Nothobranchius furzeri: one gene and its partners. The protein of the gene in region 2 purifies or fractionates together with the protein of the main gene of each other region. This does not show direct contact. Links are inferred from orthologs where the notes say so. Each region holds a gene or a part of one and is shown on either strand. Other genes may lie near its edges. The genes, in order: nuclear cap-binding protein subunit 1, ybx1 and larp1.

Region 1 (3,752 bases), on a different chromosome or scaffold from region 2:
CATTGATGTAAAGATCAGTGGCCACGTTGGTACCACCAACTGTCCCGTTGATGCCTTCTGCTGCTACCCTTACCTACAGAAGATGATTGACATTTTAACTACTTAAATGTTTCTTTAAAATCCTCTATTTTCTGATATGATGTGCTAGAGTCTAGCTGAAAGGGTTTTCTTACCTTGCCGGTTAGGTGAAGTGACTCACACAGAGCTTCCTGCCATGCACAGACAGCATGTGGATCGTCCACTTCACAGTAACAATAATAGAGCAGAACCTTCCCAGGACCACTTCATAAAAACAAGAAATAAACAATCTGCATATGTTGAAATCTGATCAAATCTATAAAGGGGATGGATATAGATATGTATATACTCCATTCTGTTTACTTTTTTAGTTCACCCTCAGGGATGTGGCTGATATCTGGTATCCACATTGAAATGTCCACTGCCTCCGTCTTTTTCCCTTTCAGCTGCTGTGTTTCTGTGTCTTTTTCCAGCTGGCTTAGCAAATGTTCATATGTGGCCTGCGTGAGCTGCTGTATACTAGAATTGTGAGTTTTGGCCACATGTTGGTGAATCTCAGCATGTTCGACGAAGGTCAGGCTACAGCAGCACCAAGATGTGCTTCCTTTTCCTGCACACTCCTTCTTCGATGCTACGAAGGCAGCAAATGACTGTGAAAAGGAAGAAGCACGAATGGCATTTAGTTTAAGTAAATGTGTGCAAAATTCTAAGTTTAATGTGGGATGAAGTTTGTCGCTGCAGGTTATTTTGTTTTTATTTTGATACCTAACATTTGTCAGACATGTAAACAGATAAAATAAATGCTGCATTTACAACTATTTAAATAAACCAGTATTTACATAATATAAGTTCAACTTTATTTATTGAGCGCTTTCACATGCCCAGGAGGACAAACAAAGCGCTGTACACCAATACAAAAACAGCATTCAAATCAGAAATACACAAAAAAGTATACATTATTATTATAACTTAGCTCATCATAAAGCCAACAAACGGTCATTGTTTTTTCCCCACCTTTCTTCTGCAGAAACTGTAGTATCTTCTTTGTGAGGCAGAAAGTTGTCTCTCCTGTTTTAATCCATTACTTGTCGAAAAATCAACATCCAAATTCATGAAGCAGCCGGTTTCAATCGCTTCCATCCTAACGAAGCTGTTAAACACTGCCAGTTAGTCGATTTTTTGTCTAAATTAAATACATTTTAAGACAGTGATCGTGCCTTGCTGTCCTAACATTTATTTGCTGCCATCTTACCAAACATAAACTCTCAAACACGGTGAGGAAAAAAAGGTCACAAACGTGTTTCCGACAATGTCGGACGAAATAGGAGGACGGACTTTTCATTTGACCTCGTGCTGCCCCGGAAGTTCTCCACTTGAATCATACCGCTGTTATTTTTCTGCGGTGGTTTCTGCGTTGCACAGGCTAAATTAACTAAGTATCAGCTAGTTCGTCCGACTTGCTGCTTCGTTTCATATCGGTTTTTTCTTTTGGTTGTCTTGTGTGGATTTTAAAGTGGCCTAATATGTCCCGGAGACGACACAGCGACGAGAATGACGGTAAATCGGCGGAGATTCAGTCACACTTTAGGCTAATAGGCTAACATTAGCGTGTTTTCCTTTCCTTCACCCATGTTGGTTATTTGTTTTGCTAATACACGTGGAGTTTTTGGATAGCTTCCATCAAAATTAAAAAGAGCAAACTCGTTATCAGCTGACATTTGTGCAAAACTAAACAGCGAAGCTGAATGAACAGCGTAAGACAACCGCCAATAACCTATGCTGTTACTGTTAGCTGATTGATGGCTAACTAAACTGATATGGAGGCGGTACCAATGAGTAAAAGATACACAACCTGATAATTGGATCATTTCTGGTAAGTTGTTAAAAGTGTAAAACTGAGTCGGAAATTAATCCTGACACGTCATGTGGTGAGCTAAACTGCTAACAAGCATCATTCTAGAGAAAATATTTGATTTCCAGTGTCTGTCCTATTGATTTTGTTAAAGCAGTGCGTATTCCATTTTTAAACGTTTCTCCCTTTTGCTTGTACAGAAATGTGTTCACAGTTGAACCCATGTATAATATGCAGATGCTGGTAATGGAAAACAAAACATGGAATGAGAAAAATCTTAAATAGTCATGTAACTGCCTAAAAGTATGTGTGAGCTTCAAGTGAATGTTTCAGAAACCTTCCATTGTTGTCAGTTTTATTTAAAGTCCCATTAGTCATCATCGCACACTGGTGAAATTACATCTCTGCATTTGACACATCCTTGTGGGCAGCAGCGAACTGCAGCGATGGCTGCACTTGGGAACTATTTGGTGGTTTAGTCCCCCAATGCAGTCCCTTAAAGCTGAGTGCAGGGAGATATTGGGTCCCATTTTTAAAGTCTTTGGTATGACCCAACCAGATTTGAACCCTGATTTCCTAGTCGCAGGGTGGAGACCCATACCACTAGGCCACTGAGAAGGTTTGTCAAGCAGATAATGTCTCATTGTCAGTATGTCCTCAACAGGTCAAAATAGCAAGGATTAAAAGCCTTGAACTTCACTCTGGAACAGAATAATTGCTAAAGTATTGACATTCTCCTTTTATAATGCTGCTAACAGATTAATTATCTAAAAAGGGGCTCATGTGTTGATGTGAGTTAGGAGAAGAAACTTTCTCATACTCCGTAAACTGTGTTAAAGGAATCAACTTTGATGTGTTGCTCATTCTTTTGCGCAAGTCTTTACGCCTTATCAAGACACTCACACACACACACTTGGCCTGTCATCTTCAATAGATAATACTGTTTTGAACATTAGGATTAGATGTTCTTGTCTACTGAACTAGAGTGAGTCTGAACTCGGACACTTGTCTGCCCCCTGATGCCATGCAAGGACACTGGGTTATGGTGTGGCGATGTCTGTGTCTGGTGACCTTAACAGAGGAATACCTTTATTGGGTTACAATGATGAAGTTGCTAAAAGGCACTGCTTCGATTAAAAAGTGTAAGCTTTTAAACATCAGCTTAATTTCTGTTAATCTAGGTGTTTCTTAGCACAACACAACCTTTATCAAATAAATATGCAAGTGTTTACATGTATTACTCATTTACGCAGATTCTGTTGGTGTTTTCTGTGGTGTCGGTCAGAGTTTATGAACATGTGTTGATTGTGTGACTCTTTTACCCACCAGGAGGTCAAGCTCACAAGAGGAGGAGAACTTCTGAACCTATTGAGATTGAAGATCGTCTGGAATCCCTGATATGTCGTGTTGGGGAGAAAGTAAGAGCAGACAGACAGAGAGATGCTCTGAAATCTCCATCACTTGACTCTGTTGTATTTTGTTATTAACAGAGTACATCATCCCTCGAGAGCAACTTGGAGGGCCTTGCGGGCGTCTTAGAGGCAGATCTTCCAAACTACAAAAACAAAATTCTGCGTATTTTATGTTCTGTGTATGTTTGTATAGGTTATTGCTTTCTGATTAATAAAGAGGCATTCAGAAGGCAGACTTTACTAAAGCACTGTGTGTCAACAGCGCCCGCCTGCTACCTGAGAAGCTTACCGTCTACACAACCTTGGTCGGCCTTCTCAACGCCAGGAACTACAACTTTGGAGGCGAGTTTGTGGAGGCCATGATCAGACAGCTGAAGGAGACCCTGAAAAACAACTTGTACAATGAAGCTGTTTACCTGGTAAAGCTGATTTTCACACAATAAATCTTCACAAAAGGGAGTTTAAAATTC
Region 2 (3,752 bases):
AAAAATAAATTGTCCATTAATTACTTTCCTGGTATTCAAAAGGACTGATCGTCTGGGATTAGACCTCCGATGAATCCCCAAAGTCTGTTTGATAAGAATTTAGAAAAAATCTTATTGTCTGAACATAACAAGGAAACTGGTCTCCAGTATTTTAGTTGGGTTAAGTCCCCTTTTTCGGCAGCAGGGACAGAACGCCCCACCTACACGATGCAGGAAGTGCTCCTGTCTGAAGTGAGTCTTTAAAAACATCCATCAGGTCCTGTCCCATACTGCTCCAGTAGAATTTGTAGAAGTCAGCAGGTAAGCCATCTATCCCCAGAGATTTTCCTGCAGCCATCTGGGAGACTGCCGTTGTAAGCTCCTCCATGGTTATGTCTGCATTTAAGATGTCTTGGTCTGCTGTGGTCAAGGAAGGGAGCCCCTGCAACAGCTCTCTGGCACAGTTCACATCACATGGCCTTAAATAGGCTGGTATAGAATTCTCCTGCATACTTCCTCATCTCCACTGGGTCTGTGGATAACTGTCCATCTGACAGACGAAGAGCAACCATTTGTTTTTTTCTGGTTTGAAAGTCTTTTCCAGGTTAAAAAAGAAGGATGTTGGAGCATCCATGTCCTGTAATGTGGTGAAACGAGCCCGGATCAAGGCCCCTTTGGCCCTCTCTTGCACGAAATGCCCAAGCTGTTTTTTTTTTTTACCAGAGACATAAAATCTGTCTAATCTAGCAGCACTAACTCCGAGAGAGAGAGAGAGAGAGAGAGAGAGAGAGAGAGAGAGAGAGAGAGAGAGAGAGAGAGAGAGAGAGAGAGAGAGAGAGAGAGAGAGAGAGAGAGAGAGAGAGAGAGAGAGAGAGAGAGAGAGAGAGAGAGAGAGAGAGAGAGAGAGAGAGAGAGAGAGAGAGATTAACCGCATGCGCTTCACACATTGGCCTGTGCTTGTAAAGGGTGCCAGTGGTGCATGAACATAATATGAGTGGATTCTGCAGTTACCTTTGTCTTTACCTGCTAATATTTATGGGGTGTTTATTTGTCTTTTCTTAGAATGTTCCCACGGTAAACATCACAATAGTAGTAATTATTTCAACTATCTAGAAACGACAAAATAAATTAAACATAAAGTTGTCACATTTGCAACATACCACATGTATGGTTCACAGTTTTGTATGACATAATTCAAAATGCATAATACTATCGGAAGTGTCACAAGCAGAATTCTCTCGCTTTTACGTCACTGGGGGCGTTGAGACTTCTGTACGTCTTTTTGACCAATAATTTCATCAAAGGCTTTGCTCAAAAAAGATTGACAGTCTCAATAGCCAATTGGAAGGAGATTTGTTCAATTCTACATATTTTAGCTAATCAGGAGACGAGATGGGCGGGTCTTCGCCTGGGAACATTCCCCTGCACTGTCTCTTGTTCTGCCCAGTTCGATCGGCAACGGGAGCGGAAAGAAGAAAGCTGAGAGCCCGAAGGCAGTAGCCCCCACCACCGCCGGCCCAGGTTACCATCTAGCACCGGGAAAAATATCAGAGAGCCGCCGCCGGCTGAAGCCATTACCAACGAGTAGTAACCATGAGCAGCGAGGCCGAGACGCAACAACCTCCACAGCCTGCTGCGGATGCGGAGAGCCCATCCAGCCCGGCACCCGCAGCTTCCGCGGGGGATAAGAAGGTCATCGGTAAGAATTCTTAGGCTAGCCGAGCCGGAGTTATCATTTATAATTTATACGCTCTTGGGTGTGGATGTAGCATTTGAATAAAAGCTGCCGTTCTTGCGTGAGAATTTCAGCCACGTCAAATTAATTTGCTCCAGTTGGTAAACGTTAGTGCCAGTTGACGGATAAATTCTTCACTCCTTTGGGCATTCTTATTATAATGGTCCAAAAAATTCAATCTAACGGTTTTTATTAGTCTAGTTTCTAAAAATTGAGTGGTTTATTCACAGATTAAATCGTGAATTCCATTCTGATTATCTCCATTGCTCATCGGCCTCCTCACGTCAAATATCCGTTTGAGAGTCGCGTGTATCCGGCCGGTCATCACATGGATGCTCGCTGTCACTTCCAACCGTTGCCAGAACCACGATGTTTTGACTAGGGTTTAATAACTGCATAACTGCATCTGGACCGCCAATAATTGCAGAACAATCCTACCAAATGCTCTATAACACCGGTTCATGTGAAATAACTACAGTGGCTACGAACGTTAGCTGCTTAACCATCTCTTTGTTCGCACGAAAGAGTCTTGATTCCATGTCAAGGCATTTTATCTAAAATATTCTCCTTTTCCAAAGCGTTCAGTCCCGATTTTTTTGGCCAAATTGTCAGAAGAAACGTTGTTGGCTAGCGACTCCAGCTACATCCGTCAATGGCGGTCTTATTTTGGTTGAATTTGCGTGCTGTCGGTGTGGCCTAAATACTTTACTATAGATCATCGGTTGCTAACCTAGCTACATTAGCCTAGCCAGCTAAGTGGCTATTTACATGGCTTTAGGGGAGGCCGTCCAAAATGTCCGCCGTGTGTTTTCCCGTTTTTTCCCGCTGCTTTGTAATTTGTTCGCTAAAAACTAATTCAAAACCGAAATCTTTATCATATATACCAATAAATACGGATTAATGTAGTTTAGTAATGCGCGTTTGTTTGTTTCTCTTTGCTGGCTCTACTCCAACCACATGGTACTAACCTTAGCCACACAGCCATGCTAATAGCCAGCAGAGCACAGCTCACAGCTCGTTAACGTATCCGGGTGCGACCCAACCACGTGTGAACCTTCAGGTTCTGCGTCCTAAAATGGAGCAGCAGGTCTGCAGTAACTAAACATGCGAGTGCAGAGACTGGTCGCTGTTTGCATCCTCATCTTTGTCATGCATTATGGGACATTTTGGATGCGTCATTTGGGACAGTTGTTGTATCGTTACTGGGATATTTTCTTACTGGTGGCTCATGTTAGGAGCAGCTGGCCCTGGGGTCTCCTAAGCATCAGTGTCTATAATAGGAGTGACAGTTGCGGGTTAAATATAACCTCTACGTTATGTGTGGCCATAGTTTTTAATGTTTTTATAGTTCTGATGTAGTTCGTTAAGTGTCCCATCATGATGGAAGCGTTTCAGTTTCACTTAAGCTATATGGATTTGTTCTAAATGCATGTCAGGCAGACGATGGTATTTAATAATCTTGTTCTGACTGTGATTGCAGCAACAAAAGTCTTGGGTACAGTCAAATGGTTCAACGTCAGGAATGGATATGGTTTCATCAATAGGTGAGTCACCTGTTGGTCCCTGTGTCAAAGTACATTTCTGGGTGTGGGTGAGAGTGAAGCATGCTAATCCTATTAAGTTATGCTTTGCGTACTTGGCTGACCATATTATTTTTCTGCTCATCTCCATCCTGTTGCAACCCACAGAACTTAATTAATCCCCACTGGCTTAGTTTTAAGTCTGTTTGCAGAGGCTCAGCAGAATGCAGCTAACTAAGATTCTGTTCTTTTGTCTAGGAACGATACAAAGGAAGATGTTTTTGTACACCAGGTCAGTTGTTGCTTTAGTTTTTATTCATTTATTGAAATTTGTGGTTAAGCAGACTTGACATTCAAACTATTTGTAATTTCAGACGGCCATAAAAAAGAACAACCCAAGGAAATATCTTCGCAGTGTTGGGGACGGAGAAACTGTGGAGTTTGATGTAGTTGAGGGAGAAAAAGTAAGTTTCTTTGATTTGTTTGTTTAAAGGACATTGTGTTCCATCATGATTAAT
Region 3 (3,652 bases), on a different chromosome or scaffold from region 2:
AACCCTAAAATATTAAAGTATGAACATTAAGAAACTTGTTCTTGGAGAAAGACTAAGGGAATTCCAGGGGAACAATCATGTCTGCAGCGAGGCCTGAGGCCGTCTGCGGCCCTGGGGGGGATTTTGTGCGTCCCCGCTTTCATTCTTAGAACGTCTAGTTTTCTAGCTTCAGCTTTTCACTAATATGTCTAATTTAGGCCTTTTGTCAGTACAAATAAAAAAAATCATAACATTATTTTAACATGAAAACATGAATCTCATTTTGTGGCTCATGAGGATTTTTAATTTGATTTTAAATCTCATCATGAAAGATCTCTCCAAATGTCTTAAAAGTTTATTTTCAACTATGTGATAAATACATTTATTTTAAGGAAAAGTATCTGTACTAAGCAAATGTCTCCAGTTTGACTCTTTGACTTTATTATAATAAAAAATGTCTATACCGTTTTATTAATTCTCTGAAAGTTCAATAAACTTTTCGTATTCTGTTGTCAGCCAGCTTCTAATGTCAAGCTTAGTGTTATTGTTGGAGCTGGGCTGATTTTAATGATGCTTTGGCATGCTAACGTAAAATGTTCGGTGTGATGCGTGTGAAAAAAGGCAGATTTAGAGAGTTTTTGTTGCGTCTAGAACCAAACTAAAGCCTTGTTAGATGTTATTTTTGCTGCCCGTCTCTAGTCCCTACTAATGAAGCGCCCTGAGGGACACCGTCAGTTCTGCTAAAAGATTTTCATGTTATCTTGGTGCAGCGCTCAGGGACACCACACCTAAACCTGCTCGGGGCTTACATTCATCCTGGGAGGTGATGCTCTCCATCATTAAAGCAAGAAGCTTCTGAGAATTTAGCACCAGAGAAACTGCTGGAGGACAGGCGGCAGTCCAGCAAACAACGTGAAGCAACTCTGTTACATCAGGAGTCAGTTAATTCCTATTAAACTGTTTCTCAACTCCATGCCTCAAATTAAACAGTCCAAAGTTCAGACGTCGGGTAAACCACACAGCTTTTTGAACTTCTCTGTGACCACCTGCTGAATTGGTTTCTAATGACACTCCAATTTCTGGAGTTTTTTAATTTCCTTTAAACTTGACACATCAGTTTTCCAAACTCTTAGAGTTGAATTAATCCTTCTTGGCAAATGTGTCCCTGTTATGAACGGGCCAATAAGGCAGTAATGTGAGTTTACACCTCAAAAGACCCAGCGCAGCGTTCAGTTAAAGCACATTATTTATTATTATTAGCAGTTTGGTAATGTCTGTGTTTTTGTTTTGTTCCTACCAGAACTGACTGGTCCAGCCAAGGTGGTGAAAGCAGGGAATCCTCCCAAAGGCAGGCGTGGAGGAAAGGTAAGCCTTTCAGTTAGAAAGTCTTAGAATAAGATGATTTTAATGATGATGTGTAATTTTATTTTATGCTGAAATATTAAAAACGGTAAGAAAAGTTGTAGCTGGATATTTATCTAACCAATAAAACCAGTTGTCATCAACCATTGCACTCAAAAAATTTCTAAAATGTTCAAACCTCCCATTACTGTCATGACCCCGGCTTTCCACCAAATGCGTAATCGTTGTGTAATGTCTGCACAGCTCAATACGCAGCTAGTAGCCGTCATTATTGTCTGTGGGTGTGTTTCGCCTGGGCAAGCAGCGGTGCGCAATAATTAAGTTTTTATCTAGAGGTGGCTCATATCCTATCATCCACAATATTACCAGTAAATATTTTTTGTTCAGAGAAAAAAAATCTCTTGTTAAGCTAAATTCATGATGCATTATCATCTCATGCATTCTTTAGTCAGGATTACACTCACTGTTGTCTTCTATGTGTCCCTCACTGCTCTCCGTAGCTGTTTCCTGATTATGCGGGGGAGAGGGTTTGCACAATGTTCCGGTTGGCATCCGCTGTGAAAAGGCTCGTTAAAACACACACAAACGACTCAGAATAATAAAAGTCAGAAAGCTAAATGCAGCATTTAGAGCAGAACATTGGCCCAGAGGTTCCCTGATCGAGCAGACTTTTGAGCTAGTGGCTAATGCTAGCAGATAGCCGCTATTATATAGTATGGTGTGCTTCTTCAAAGATTCATAATCGTTAATGTTCGCATCTTAATGCATCCATTCCATTGTTAGATTATTTTCCTCAGCTCTACCGAGCACCCCAGCTAAACATAACAACACACTGCCTTAAACTTGCGCTGGTGTGCCTGTCGTGTTGACAGAAGCACACTAGCAAATAGCACGACTCGGCTGAGAAAAAATGTGTTGGTAGATGAATCCACAAATAATGACACACAATTTCCCAGCTTTGGTGGATCGTCATCACTATATAATCCTTAATGGTCTTATATCGTCAGATTGCACGGCCCTATCTGTCGCTAGATATCTTTAGCTCTCTTTATGCTTTTGAGGGCACATTGGCGGTGCTGTTGGCGAAAGTGGCGTCCTGACCAATCACAAGCTTGCGTTTTCTGTCTCGTTGGACAGATGATTAGAAAAATGGGCACGACTCCCTCCGTCCTTGCGAGCCTGCTGGAGAACCCGTGCAAGGACACATATTGGCGTTGCGTGTCTCCGCACCGACGCAGAAGCATAAACTAGGCTTTACACACCAGGTTTATGCTTCCAGAACACGTCAAACTCAGCGGTTCAGATCGGGCCAGACAGGAAGTCAAACATGGGAGCGGTGTAAAACATTTGGCTACACACACATCTACACACCTTTTGGATTCATGCAGCTGTCTTCACTGCTCATTATTGCGAGAACTGACAAAATCACGCGTGGTCTTGAATTTATTGGGCAATTTCGTGACCTCGCTGGACCAGCTGTGTGAAACACATTTGACTCTCGAACACTCCACAGAGGTTGTGGCACATTTTTCATCCGGTGGAAAGCCCGGGTTAGTGTTTGTTTCTTTAATCCAGAGTCATAGTGAAGTAATTAGGGAGTGTTTGGTACATCTGTGGTACTTTTGCTGAGGGGCAGATTTGGATTGATAATTGTTTTCAACCAACAACCGTTAGACCAACAGTTTTCCTTAACAGAACTCAACCCATGACTCCAGCTTCCAAATCCCAAAAGCATCTTTCTGATTTAGTAAATTTATGACTAAATGTCACGATCAGGATCAACGTCTTCAAATTTCAGGAAGTGACTCTTCCAATTTATTACAAATTAGTGAATAATTTTTATTTTAAAATTTTTTAATGGAAATGACCCAGTCAGTACTCAAACAGCCTCAAATGTTTTTTTTCTTCCCCATTAGAAAGAGAAAGTAATTGTTCAAAAGAGTTAAGTTTCCTTTTAACACATTAGAATAAATCCTTCACCTCTTTTATTTTCTTTACGTATGTTTTTTTAATCCCATTTCTGTTCAGGTGGGAGATTTTGGTGACACCAACAGTTGGCCGACCCCAGGAGAGATAGCGACTAAAGACATGCAGGTAGGCGTCATGGTTGGCGTGGAGGCGTGGGCTAAAGCTGAAGCAGCGTGACCTCTATACACATCGCTGTGTATTTAACAAGCATCTGGTTGCATTCTACAACAGATTTGGTCATATTGACACAAAACACGCTGATAAACGTTTGAGTAATGTTGGGTCCATTTGTCCTGCTGCAGCTAACTCCATTGAGTCTAGTTTCCTCCAGGAGGTATTTTAG

The links.
Region 1: the proteins of ybx1 (region 2) and nuclear cap-binding protein subunit 1 purify together in Homo sapiens (co-immunoprecipitation; 3 studies listed by BioGRID and IntAct, with this or other methods). This does not show direct contact. The link is inferred for Nothobranchius furzeri from reciprocal best matches to the Homo sapiens genes YBX1 and NCBP1.
Region 3: the proteins of ybx1 (region 2) and larp1 purify together in Homo sapiens (co-immunoprecipitation; 3 studies listed by BioGRID and IntAct, with this or other methods). This does not show direct contact. The link is inferred for Nothobranchius furzeri from reciprocal best matches to the Homo sapiens genes YBX1 and LARP1.

The regions. Positions count from the first base shown.
Region 1 is NC_091741.1:71,548,141-71,551,892, reverse strand, and holds the start of nuclear cap-binding protein subunit 1, read left to right. Parts: upstream 1-1,403; 5' UTR 1,404-1,541; coding exon 1,542-1,575; intron 1,576-3,199; coding exon 3,200-3,288; intron 3,289-3,360; coding exon 3,361-3,461; intron 3,462-3,544; coding exon 3,545-3,701; intron 3,702-3,752. Other genes in the region: thiosulfate sulfurtransferase/rhodanese-like domain-containing protein 2, read right to left, coding at 1-73, 174-282, 382-668, 1,033-1,158. UniProt on the Homo sapiens protein: Component of the cap-binding complex (CBC), which binds cotranscriptionally to the 5'-cap of pre-mRNAs and is involved in various processes such as pre-mRNA splicing, translation regulation, nonsense-mediated mRNA decay, RNA-mediated gene silencing (RNAi) by microRNAs (miRNAs) and mRNA export.
Region 2 is NC_091755.1:32,516,061-32,519,812, reverse strand, and holds the start of ybx1 (Y-box-binding protein 1), read left to right. Parts: upstream 1-1,395; 5' UTR 1,396-1,572; coding exon 1,573-1,678; intron 1,679-3,194; coding exon 3,195-3,258; intron 3,259-3,492; coding exon 3,493-3,526; intron 3,527-3,608; coding exon 3,609-3,698; intron 3,699-3,752. UniProt on the Homo sapiens protein: DNA- and RNA-binding protein involved in various processes, such as translational repression, RNA stabilization, mRNA splicing, DNA repair and transcription regulation.
Region 3 is NC_091750.1:54,227,392-54,231,043, forward strand, and holds part of larp1 (la-related protein 1), read left to right. Parts: intron 1-1,279; coding exon 1,280-1,344; intron 1,345-3,369; coding exon 3,370-3,435; intron 3,436-3,652. UniProt on the Homo sapiens protein: RNA-binding protein that regulates the translation of specific target mRNA species downstream of the mTORC1 complex, in function of growth signals and nutrient availability.